Linked DNA regions of Drosophila melanogaster. The protein of the gene in region 1 binds, or shares a complex with, the protein of each later gene. Each region holds a gene or a part of one and is shown on either strand. Other genes may lie near its edges. The genes, in order: fu and Su(fu). A codon is read from its position in the direction of its gene.

What was found.
Region 2: the proteins of fu (region 1) and Su(fu) are in contact, whole or in part, in a crystal structure (PDB 6LPH), measured with the Drosophila melanogaster proteins. Residues at the interface, in NP_477499.1 of Drosophila melanogaster: Phe371 (codon at 3,042), Val372 (codon at 3,045), Ser373 (codon at 3,048), Asn375 (codon at 3,054), Ser376 (codon at 3,057), Asn377 (codon at 3,060), Met378 (codon at 3,063), Ile379 (codon at 3,066), Leu380 (codon at 3,069), Asn381 (codon at 3,072), His382 (codon at 3,075), Met383 (codon at 3,078), Asn384 (codon at 3,081), Asn386 (codon at 3,087), Phe387 (codon at 3,090); in NP_536750.2 of Drosophila melanogaster: Leu18 (codon at 2,026), Ile22 (codon at 2,038), Pro33 (codon at 2,071), Asn34 (codon at 2,074), Pro35 (codon at 2,077), Leu36 (codon at 2,080), Gln37 (codon at 2,083), Val38 (codon at 2,086), Thr39 (codon at 2,089), Thr40 (codon at 2,092), Leu41 (codon at 2,095), Leu42 (codon at 2,098), Asp50 (codon at 2,122), Tyr54 (codon at 2,134), Met57 (codon at 2,143), Arg127 (codon at 2,353), Thr130 (codon at 2,362), Trp131 (codon at 2,365), Ala133 (codon at 2,371), Asn134 (codon at 2,374), Gln137 (codon at 2,383).

The regions. Positions count from the first base shown.
Region 1 is NC_004354.4:18,655,981-18,661,804, forward strand, and holds fu (fused), read left to right. Parts: upstream 1-1,774; 5' UTR 1,775-1,859; coding exon 1,860-1,970; intron 1,971-2,042; coding exon 2,043-3,412; intron 3,413-3,471; coding exon 3,472-4,046; intron 4,047-4,114; coding exon 4,115-4,476; 3' UTR 4,477-4,508; coding exon of another isoform or gene 4,509-4,688; 3' UTR 4,689-5,224; downstream 5,225-5,824. Other genes in the region: CG6659 (uncharacterized protein), read right to left, coding at 1-290, 344-665, 734-995, 1,118-1,163; CG6696 (uncharacterized protein), read right to left, coding at 4,509-4,688, 5,259-5,695, 5,749-5,824. UniProt on the Drosophila melanogaster protein: Probable serine/threonine-protein kinase; maternally required for correct patterning in the posterior part of each embryonic metamere. May be involved in control of cell division during metamorphosis and ovarian development. May interact with costal-2.
Region 2 is NT_033777.3:12,689,157-12,693,412, reverse strand, and holds Su(fu) (suppressor of fused), read left to right. Parts: upstream 1-1,944; 5' UTR 1,945-1,974; coding exon 1,975-3,381; 3' UTR 3,382-3,540; downstream 3,541-4,256. Other genes in the region: CG31347 (uncharacterized protein), read left to right, coding at 863-1,294; Arp1 (Actin-related protein 1), read right to left, coding at 1-198, 258-409, 469-643, 706-770, 1,544-1,591.

The DNA.
Region 1 (5,824 bases):
CTGCGCACGTGACGCAACTGTCGCACCATTGTAATCAAAAATAGGAACAGCGAGATGCTCAGCTGCCAGGTGAGAAGCAGCTGGCTGTTGCCGTGCGACATTACAAAGGCGAGAGCGTGGCCCAGCAGGTGCGACAGCGAGTAGTCCAGCACGAAGGCGTTGACCAGAGCCGTGGGCAGCGCGCTCGCGTTCCAGGACGTCATCATGATCAGGATCTGGGTGGTGAAGATGAAGGTGGAGAACTGCCAGGAGAGTAGGGCGCAGGCGGTGAAAAGCGACATGGCGAAGATCTTCGAAGGGCAAAGATGTTACTGAGCTTAATGCAATAAAGCACACCTATTACCATGAACATGCGAGATGTGTGCCGCTGTCGGTGTATGATCCTTCCGATGCAGATACACAGATAAAACATCTGCAGGAAAATGAACGGAAAGGCGAAGTTCTCCCGCGCCAGCGGCCGCTCATAGATCTTGGCCACGAAGCTGTGGAACATCAGGTACGAGATTACGCCGTATATGCCACCGAAAATGTTCTCGCTGAGCAGCGTTCCGTACAGGTAGAGTACCAGCAGGGTTACCCCGCCCATCAGCCACACGAACTCCAGATAGAACTGCATCGGTTGCACCATTGGATTGAAGCCGGAGCGCACTACGTGAAAGAAGTACCTTTGGGGAGCGAAAGTGCATCTGCATTAGTGGACTTTTTGGGCATCACTCCTCTGGCAGTCACTTACGCCGTGACCAGCTCCGGCAGCACGTAGAATCGCTGCAGCACATTGACACTGTGCGGATACTCGATGTCCGTGACGTTCTTCAGCTGCTCGTAGCCGTGCCAAAAGTCCGGCCCTTCGGCCAGCTGCTTGTAGAAGGCATAGTACAGGGCATCCTCGCGCCGCAGAAGCGCCTCCCGCTCCAGCTGATTGAGCTGCTGGATGTTGGTGCGCGTCTCGAAGATCACGCGCACATGCTGCACGTATAGGAAGAAGAAGCCGCAGCCTGGGATGCGGATTGGAATTGGGAGTGTGGTCAATGGCAGTGGGAATCCCCAACTCAATTAGACTGCCGCCTGGAAGCGGAAGAGGCGTGGCAGAAGTGTCTGCCGGTTGGCGGAAACTCACCGATCAGCGCGTGCGACAGGATCACGTACAGGTTGGGCTCGCGCATCGTGCTGCGATTGTGGGTGTCGTCTCACTGGGTGGCTGTGTTCAAATTGGCAATCATTATTTATTTCACAACGATTATTCCTGGCTCCGCACAATAAAAACCAGCCAGCAATCAGCTGTTCTTCGGCCGTGCTTGTCTAGGGTGACCGTACCGAGTTGCTGTCAAAAGGGTCATTTGTGTTGGTTTGGTCACACTGAATTTTAGGTACATTACGATATATAGGTACATACCTATAATTAGTTATATTATCTACTGCACTTTTGGAATTTTTAATTATTTATATTGCATATCATTTATTGCACTTATTAAGTAAAAATTTGTACATTAAGAAATATATACATATAAATATTTATAATATATAATAATATATAAGTTAAAGTTCGTTCCAACTTTTATCACTTAATAAATGTTTATTCGCAGATAATACTAATACCTACTGCCACAGATAAAAGCGCAAACTAGTCTTGTATTTGTCTTGGATTGTATCATGATCTGGTCTATATAGATTTTTAGGTACAATTGCTGTCCAGCAAAAGCGTCATTTATCAGAAAAGGAACCCTGTATGAGCAATCTAGTATTTTCATATACCTACGTACCGAAGCCGAGTTCCCACCTCGGAGTCAACCTGCTACGGTCATACCGCACGCACTTCAGTGGTAATCACATCCCAATCCGCAGCAAAACAAAGAATAACCATGAACCGCTACGCGGTAAGCTCGATGGTGGGGCAAGGATCCTTCGGGTGCGTATACAAGGCGACACGCAAGGACGACAGCAAGGTGGTGGCCATCAAAGTGATCTCCAAGGTGAGTGGGGCGGGCCAGGTGATAAAGCAACAAGTCCATACAACTAGTTCACACCATATTCATGTTCTGCAGCGCGGAAGAGCCACGAAAGAGCTGAAGAATTTGCGCAGGGAGTGCGACATTCAGGCCCGGCTGAAGCATCCGCACGTCATCGAGATGATCGAGTCCTTCGAGTCGAAGACGGACCTTTTCGTGGTCACTGAGTTCGCGCTGATGGACCTGCACCGCTACCTGTCCTACAATGGAGCCATGGGCGAGGAGCCGGCACGTCGGGTGACCGGGCATCTGGTGTCCGCTCTGTACTACCTGCATTCAAACCGCATCCTCCACCGGGATCTCAAACCGCAAAACGTGCTGCTCGACAAGAACATGCACGCGAAACTCTGCGACTTTGGACTGGCCCGCAACATGACCCTGGGTACCCACGTGCTCACCTCGATCAAGGGAACGCCCCTCTACATGGCCCCGGAGCTGCTGGCGGAGCAGCCGTACGACCATCATGCGGACATGTGGTCACTGGGCTGCATAGCCTACGAAAGCATGGCCGGTCAGCCGCCCTTCTGTGCCAGCTCCATCCTGCATCTGGTGAAGATGATCAAGCACGAGGACGTCAAGTGGCCGAGCACGCTGACTAGCGAGTGCCGCTCCTTCCTACAGGGCCTGCTTGAGAAGGACCCCGGTCTGCGCATATCCTGGACGCAGCTGTTGTGTCACCCCTTCGTTGAGGGACGCATCTTTATCGCAGAAACGCAGGCGGAGGCGGCCAAGGAATCGCCTTTCACAAATCCCGAAGCCAAGGTTAAGTCGTCAAAACAGTCCGATCCGGAGGTAGGCGATCTGGACGAGGCCCTGGCCGCTTTGGACTTTGGCGAGTCGCGACAGGAAAACTTGACCACCTCCCGCGACAGCATAAACGCCATTGCTCCCAGCGATGTTGAGCATCTTGAGACCGATGTGGAGGACAATATGCAACGTGTGGTCGTTCCCTTCGCGGACTTGTCCTACAGGGATCTGTCTGGTGTTCGGGCAATGCCGATGGTACACCAGCCGGTGATCAACTCGCACACTTGCTTCGTCAGTGGCAACTCCAATATGATCCTCAATCATATGAACGACAACTTCGACTTTCAGGCTTCCTTGCGGGGCGGAGGCGTGGCCGCTAAGCCAATAGTCGCTCCAACCGTACGCCAGTCGCGCAGCAAGGATCTAGAGAAGCGTAAGCTTAGTCAGAATCTGGATAACTTCTCTGTTCGCTTGGGTCACAGCGTCGACCATGAGGCGCAACGCAAGGCCACGGAGATTGCTACACAGGAAAAGCATAACCAGGAAAACAAGCCTCCCGCTGAAGCAATTTCCTACGCAAATTCTCAGCCCCCGCAGCAACAGCCACAACAACTTAAACACTCAATGCATTCCACCAATGAGGAAAAGCTGAGCAGCGAGTAAGTGGCCACTGCGCCTCATAGAATTTCTTTTACTAACTTTCCCCTTTCAATAACAGCAACACTCCGCCGTGCCTGCTCCCGGGGTGGGATAGCTGCGATGAATCCCAAAGTCCGCCCATCGAGAACGATGAGTGGCTAGCCTTCTTGAACAGATCGGTGCAGGAGCTGCTTGACGGCGAACTGGACTCATTGAAACAGCACAACCTGGTGAGCATTATTGTGGCACCGCTGCGCAACTCCAAGGCCATTCCACGGGTACTCAAGAGTGTGGCCCAGTTGCTGTCGTTGCCCTTTGTGCTGGTGGATCCTGTTTTGATTGTTGACCTCGAGCTCATCCGCAACGTGTACGTGGACGTAAAACTGGTGCCCAATCTCATGTACGCCTGCAAGCTGCTCCTGTCGCACAAACAACTCTCGGACTCGGCTGCCTCCGCCCCACTCACCACGGGTTCGCTCAGTCGAACGTTGCGTAGCATTCCGGAGCTAACTGTCGAGGAGCTGGAGACGGCTTGCAGTCTGTACGAACTGGTCTGCCACTTGGTACACCTGCAGCAGCAGTTCCTAACGCAGTTCTGCGATGCGGTTGCCATTCTGGCAGCAAGCGATCTGTTCCTCAACTTCCTCACGCACGGTAAGATTACCCTTAGATGGTATGAGCTGACTCCTGTAAACTGTTAGCCCGTTCCCGTTCTCCCGTAGACTTCAGGCAATCGGATTCAGACGCCGCCTCTGTTCGCCTGGCTGGGTGCATGTTGGCCCTGATGGGCTGTGTGCTGCGCGAGCTGCCCGAAAACGCGGAGCTTGTAGAACGGATTGTCTTTAATCCGCGGCTAAACTTCGTCTCGCTCCTGCAGAGCCGACACCACCTGTTGCGGCAACGTTCCTGTCAGCTGCTGCGCCTGCTGGCCCGCTTCAGCCTGCGCGGCGTGCAGCGCATATGGAATGGAGAGCTGCGATTTGCGCTGCAACAACTCTCTGAGCACCACTCGTACCCGGCACTCCGTGGGGAGGCCGCCCAGACCCTCGACGAGATCAGTCACTTCACTTTTTTCGTCACCTAGCCGGCACTTTCTTTTATTGGCCTCAGGCGTTTTTATCCGAGCAGATCCTGAATGTTGCCCTGGAAGTAGTCGAGCAGTTCGTCGATGTAGTTCCCGAAGCGGTCGAAGTTGAGCAGGTAGTCCTCGCTGCAGTCCTGTTCGTACATCTCGTTTAGCTTGGACACATCCTTGTCGGAGAGGCCGCGTCTCTGGCCCAGCGAGGCGTACGGATCCTGGAAGCAAAGGACAGGAGTCAGAGAGTGTAGACGATGCAAGCTCCCCCAAGTCATTACAAACATCTCATCGCTTCAACTAAAACTGCTAAGGTGTAGTCAACCATTCAGCTAAAGAATTCTCATTTGATATAGTTCCAACTGGACAAGGAAGCAAAATGCTTCGTCTATTCCTAGCATAGTTGCACGTCATTGGACCATGTGTTAATATAGGAATTCCTAATCTGAATATGATCAAATCACTATCACTATCGAATTTAAATATTTTATGAGCCACGGTTTTTGGCATTCCTAATGGAATCTAAGTTAATTGATAGGTGTTTTTGAATGCACATATTCAAGTGTGGTTTGTGCAAAATAGATTGATAGCATTATAGTTTGTATATCGAAATATAACATTTAGGTGTAGTAATTGTTAAGATAAGCGAATTTACTGTATGTCCATACAATAGTCCATTAATTCGCAGTATTACTATTGAATGTTAAACTGAACTCCTTTACAGTGTAAGCGATTTAAAATAATACTCAATTACATGAATAACTGGTAACCATTTGGGTTGGCCTACTCACCAATGGCTCTATGGTGGCTTTCCCGTTCTTGCTGAAGGCCCGCGAGCTGTAGTGCATGACGCTCTGGTAGTCGTACTCCACCCCGAAGTTGGTGATGTGGGTGCGGGCGTACTTGTTGAAGTTGTGCGCGTGCCCGTCGAGGATGTTCTCCCAGTTGATCTTGACGTACTCATCCCGCTCCGTGGCGCTCTGCTGGTGGTAGAAGCCGAGCGCGTGCAGCAGCTCGTGCACCACCACGCCGTGTGTGACGCACTTGGGTGTGTTCAGGTTGAGCACCTGGCCACCCGAACGCCGGCCGACGCTCGACCAGCAGCCGGAGTAGTTGCCCTTGATGAGCAGCCAGTGCTTGTCGCCCTGTTCGTACGGCCGGAAACGTATGCAGGTGCGGTCGTGGTACTCCTTGAAGGCCTTCAGTATGACCATGGTCTGGTTGGCGTCTGTTTGGAAAGGGTGTTTTACTACTTTGGACTGCTTGCAGGCCTTAACTCACTGAAGTCTTGCGGGTCTATGTAGAAGGGCACGGCGGCCTCTGGCCAGGTGAGCCGCTCGTTCAGCAGCCCGTTCCT
Region 2 (4,256 bases), on another chromosome or scaffold:
ATCTCAAATTCGGCAGTCGACCGGAAGTTAAAGCCCTCCCGGCGGATGAGTGTCTTCAGGTAGCGCGTCACATCGCGCCCGGCGATGTCCACGCGCATAATACTGTGAGGCATGGCGAATCCCTCGTAGATAGGAACCGCATGCGTCACACCGTCGCCGGAGTCGAGCACTACGCCAGTCACACGACCGGTGGCGTAGCTGCAAGAGTGTGGTTAAATGAAATCGATAGGGGCAGTTCGTGAGATTGCAATGCTTACAGACTGAGCACCGCCTGCATGGACACAAAGAGCGCAGGTGCATTGATGCCTTCAAAGAAGAACTCGGCTGCCTTTTCGCGGTTTCGGCGCGGATTAAGCGGGGCCTCGGTCAGCAGCACGGGATGATCCTCCGTGAAGGTGGCCAGTTGTTCCTGGTCAATGCCATTTAAAACATTTAGTTAAGATTATGGAACATTTATGGACAAATTACTTTGCTGTAAATGTAGCTCCATATCCGCTCCATGTCATTCCAGTCGGTGACAATGCCGTGCTCCATGGGGTACCGGATGCTAAGCAGGCCACGGTGCTCCTCCGCCTTGGGTCCAACGAATATGTCGCCCTCCAGCGCACCAGCCATCACTCGGACATGCTTGGGCCGGCCAATGCTGCAGGAGAAGGCATTAGTTCTAGGGGTTCTTAAGGTTCGTGAGTGGTCCACGGCACTTACTAATTGGGAAACCTGCATTTTGGAATGTGCTCACCAGCAAAGCCGGCTTTGATCACACCGGAGCCCTGTCAAAAGTGATGTGGAATACATTTAGTTAGTTGCGTCAGCTTATTTTATTTAAAATTCAACGTGCAAACAGGAAATCTATATAGTCAACATGGAATCCTTTAGTGTGCCGGAAGTGGACATGATGACCGTGTCAAAGAATTCGCAATACGAACGGGAATCGCTACTAAAGTTCGCACCGCCAGTTGGACTGACCAACATCAGCTACGGCAGCTTGTACAAGGTGGACTCCTTCTATTTGGAGTGCCAGAAGTACCGAGATCAATTCCGCGATCCCTACAACAAGCTGCTGCGCCCCAAGATGTTCAGCACATACAGGGGCAAGTGTGGTGTGAAGATAGATCCCGAACTGGAGCGCTTAAAGCGACCCGCTGCCTCCCATGTGGAGTCTATTCCCGTGGTTTACCCAATGGAGTACGGGCACCAAATGGACTTCGACAGAGGCTTCCAGATGCAGGGACGCAACAGCAGGGATGCAGCCACCGCCCGCAGATATCCGTGTGTGCGTGTGCTGGGCAGATAAAGGGATTCCACGCAAGCTTTATAGACCAAATTCCCCGTTTTCGCTGTCTTCACTTCCGAATTGAACCATCTCTGGCGTTTGCGGAGCTATTCTCTCTGGGATTAGTCATGTTGGCCATTTGAAGACGGCTTGAAAGCTCGTTGACAAAGGGACGGGCGGTAGGTGATGTCACTGTTTGCTGGCTAAAACTTTGGGAACCCTAGATTTGCACAAAGCTACCCGCATTTAATGAGCCCCATCTCCACTTACGTTATCTATGACGACGGGCTGGTTGACGACGACATCATAAGGCTCCATTTTGTGCGTTTATCAAAATTTGCAAATTTTCTATTAAATAGTTGGTCAACAGGGTGACCGTAGGTGGTTGGCAGAAATAAACAGCATGTAAAAATATACCACGGCAAGAAATACTCAATATTTTACATGGTGGTGGTTTAAAGCTATATGGATATATATTTTCACTGTTTTTCTCTACATTTTAAAAATAAGCAGAAAAAAGTAAGAAAGTAATAATTATTATAAAAAAGGTTTTAAAAATAAATAATGGTTTTAAAAGAAACTCATGTAAGTTTCCATTGTCAAATCCGCACTTTACATGGCAGTATTTTTATTCATGGTATATTCAAGCGGTGGTATTCCGCAACGTTCCAACTGAGGTCATACTGATCAAACTGGATGAAATGGCCGAGGCGAATTTGGACAAAAAACCTGAGGTGAAGCCTCCGCCGGGCCTTAAGGCCATCATAGACCACCTCGGGCAGGTGTACCCCAACCAGCCGAACCCGCTGCAGGTGACCACACTGCTCAAGTACTGGCTGGGCGGTCAGGATCCGTTGGACTACATTAGCATGTACAACTATCCCGGAGATGTGGATAGGAACGTTCCGCCGCACTGGCACTACATTAGTTTCGGACTCAGCGACCTACACGGGGACGAGCGAGTCCACTTGCGCGAGGAGGGCGTCACTCGGTCTGGCATGGGGTTCGAGTTGACCTTTCGCTTGGCCAAAACAGAAATAGAGCTAAAGCAGCAGATTGAGAACCCGGAAAAGCCCCAAAGACCGCCCACCTGGCCGGCGAACCTGTTGCAGGCCATCGGACGCTATTGTTTTCAAACAGGCAACGGGTTGTGCTTCGGAGACAACATCCCGTGGCGCAAGAGTCTGGATGGCAGTACCACTTCCAAGCTACAGAACCTGCTCGTCGCCCAGGACCCGCAGTTGGGCTGCATCGACACTCCCACGGGCACGGTGGACTTCTGCCAGATCGTCGGCGTCTTTGACGACGAACTTGAGCAGGCATCGCGTTGGAACGGGCGCGGTGTGCTCAACTTCCTTCGCCAAGATATGCAAACTGGCGGTGATTGGCTGGTGACTAACATGGATCGCCAGATGAGCGTCTTCGAACTGTTTCCCGAAACGCTGCTAAACCTACAGGACGATCTGGAGAAGCAGGGTTCCGATCTGGCCGGCGTTAATGCAGATTTTACGTTCCGTGAGCTGAAACCTACCAAGGAGGTGAAGGAGGAGGTGGATTTCCAGGCGCTGAGCGAGAAGTGCGCCAACGACGAAAACAATCGGCAGCTGACGGATACGCAAATGAAACGCGAGGAACCAAGCTTTCCACAATCCATGTCGATGAGCAGCAATTCGCTGCACAAGTCCTGTCCCCTGGACTTTCAAGCGCAGGCACCAAACTGCATTTCACTGGACGGTATTGAGATTACCCTCGCACCTGGTGTGGCCAAGTACCTCCTACTGGCCATCAAGGATCGCATCCGACATGGGCGCCACTTCACCTTCAAGGCTCAGCATCTGGCGCTCACTTTGGTGGCGGAATCCGTCACCGGCTCGGCGGTGACAGTGAACGAACCGTACGGCGTGCTGGGCTACTGGATTCAGGTCCTGATTCCCGATGAACTGGTGCCGCGCCTGATGGAAGACTTCCGCAGCGCGGGCCTAGACGAGAAATGCGAGCCCAAGGAGCGACTGGAGCTCGAGTGGCCCGACAAGAATCTGAAGCTGATCATCGACCAGCCGGAACCTGTGCTGCCCATGTCGCTCGACGCTGCTCCTCTGAAAATGTGATGGTGTCCATTGGTTAGCTAGTAGTTATTTAAATTAATCGAATTGAATCTTCCACTAACGAGTAAGTTTTACATTTATACATCTCATCTAACACAATGCACGTGGCCTTTGCTCCTCGCCGGAGTCCAGTCAAAATATACAAACACATACATATACCCGAAACCACTCGACGGGCCTTTGATCGCAATATGAAAAGAGGAAGCGCCGGCGCCAGGAGCGGCGAACAATTCGCCGGATGAGTCAAGTTGGGGTCAGGCTATTGAGCACTGGAACAGTTCGCTTTGGTGGCTGCGGCGGATATGGCCACTTGCAGGCGGTGGAAGTCATCGCCACCGACTAACCACCAATTGATGGTATTGCGCAGTGGACCGCCGAATGCTTCAGTTTCTAATTCTGGGAATTGATCAATTAGAAGAGCATTCAATTTGAACACAAAATCCCGCCCGGGATCATGTGATTGCGCGAGGAACTGGACCTGGAGCAGCTGCATCATCAGCCTGGCTGATGGGAAACCCTTGACGCATCGCTTGTCTGAGCGTTGCCTAGGTGAATTTTTGTTTACCGCAGAGAACAGTTGCTCTGCTTCTCCGATTAGGCGCCCCTCATCAAGTGAGCGAGCGATTTTTCGCAAAAACAGCTCGTGGAAAATAATTCAGTTTTCTTCATTCCGCCGCCGACGACGCAAGCGTTCGGTTGTGTGCTCGCTCGAGAGGTCTCCACCCGACCACTGATTCCCGCGATTCTCGAGTCGGCTTCATCTGATTCCCAGAGTCTTCAAGTGAATCGCACGTCTGCCTGCAGCGACTGGAGTTCCGGCTTACAAGTACGTAGAGGAGCGGACTTGAAGTTCGTCCAAACGCCGGCGATTACATAAG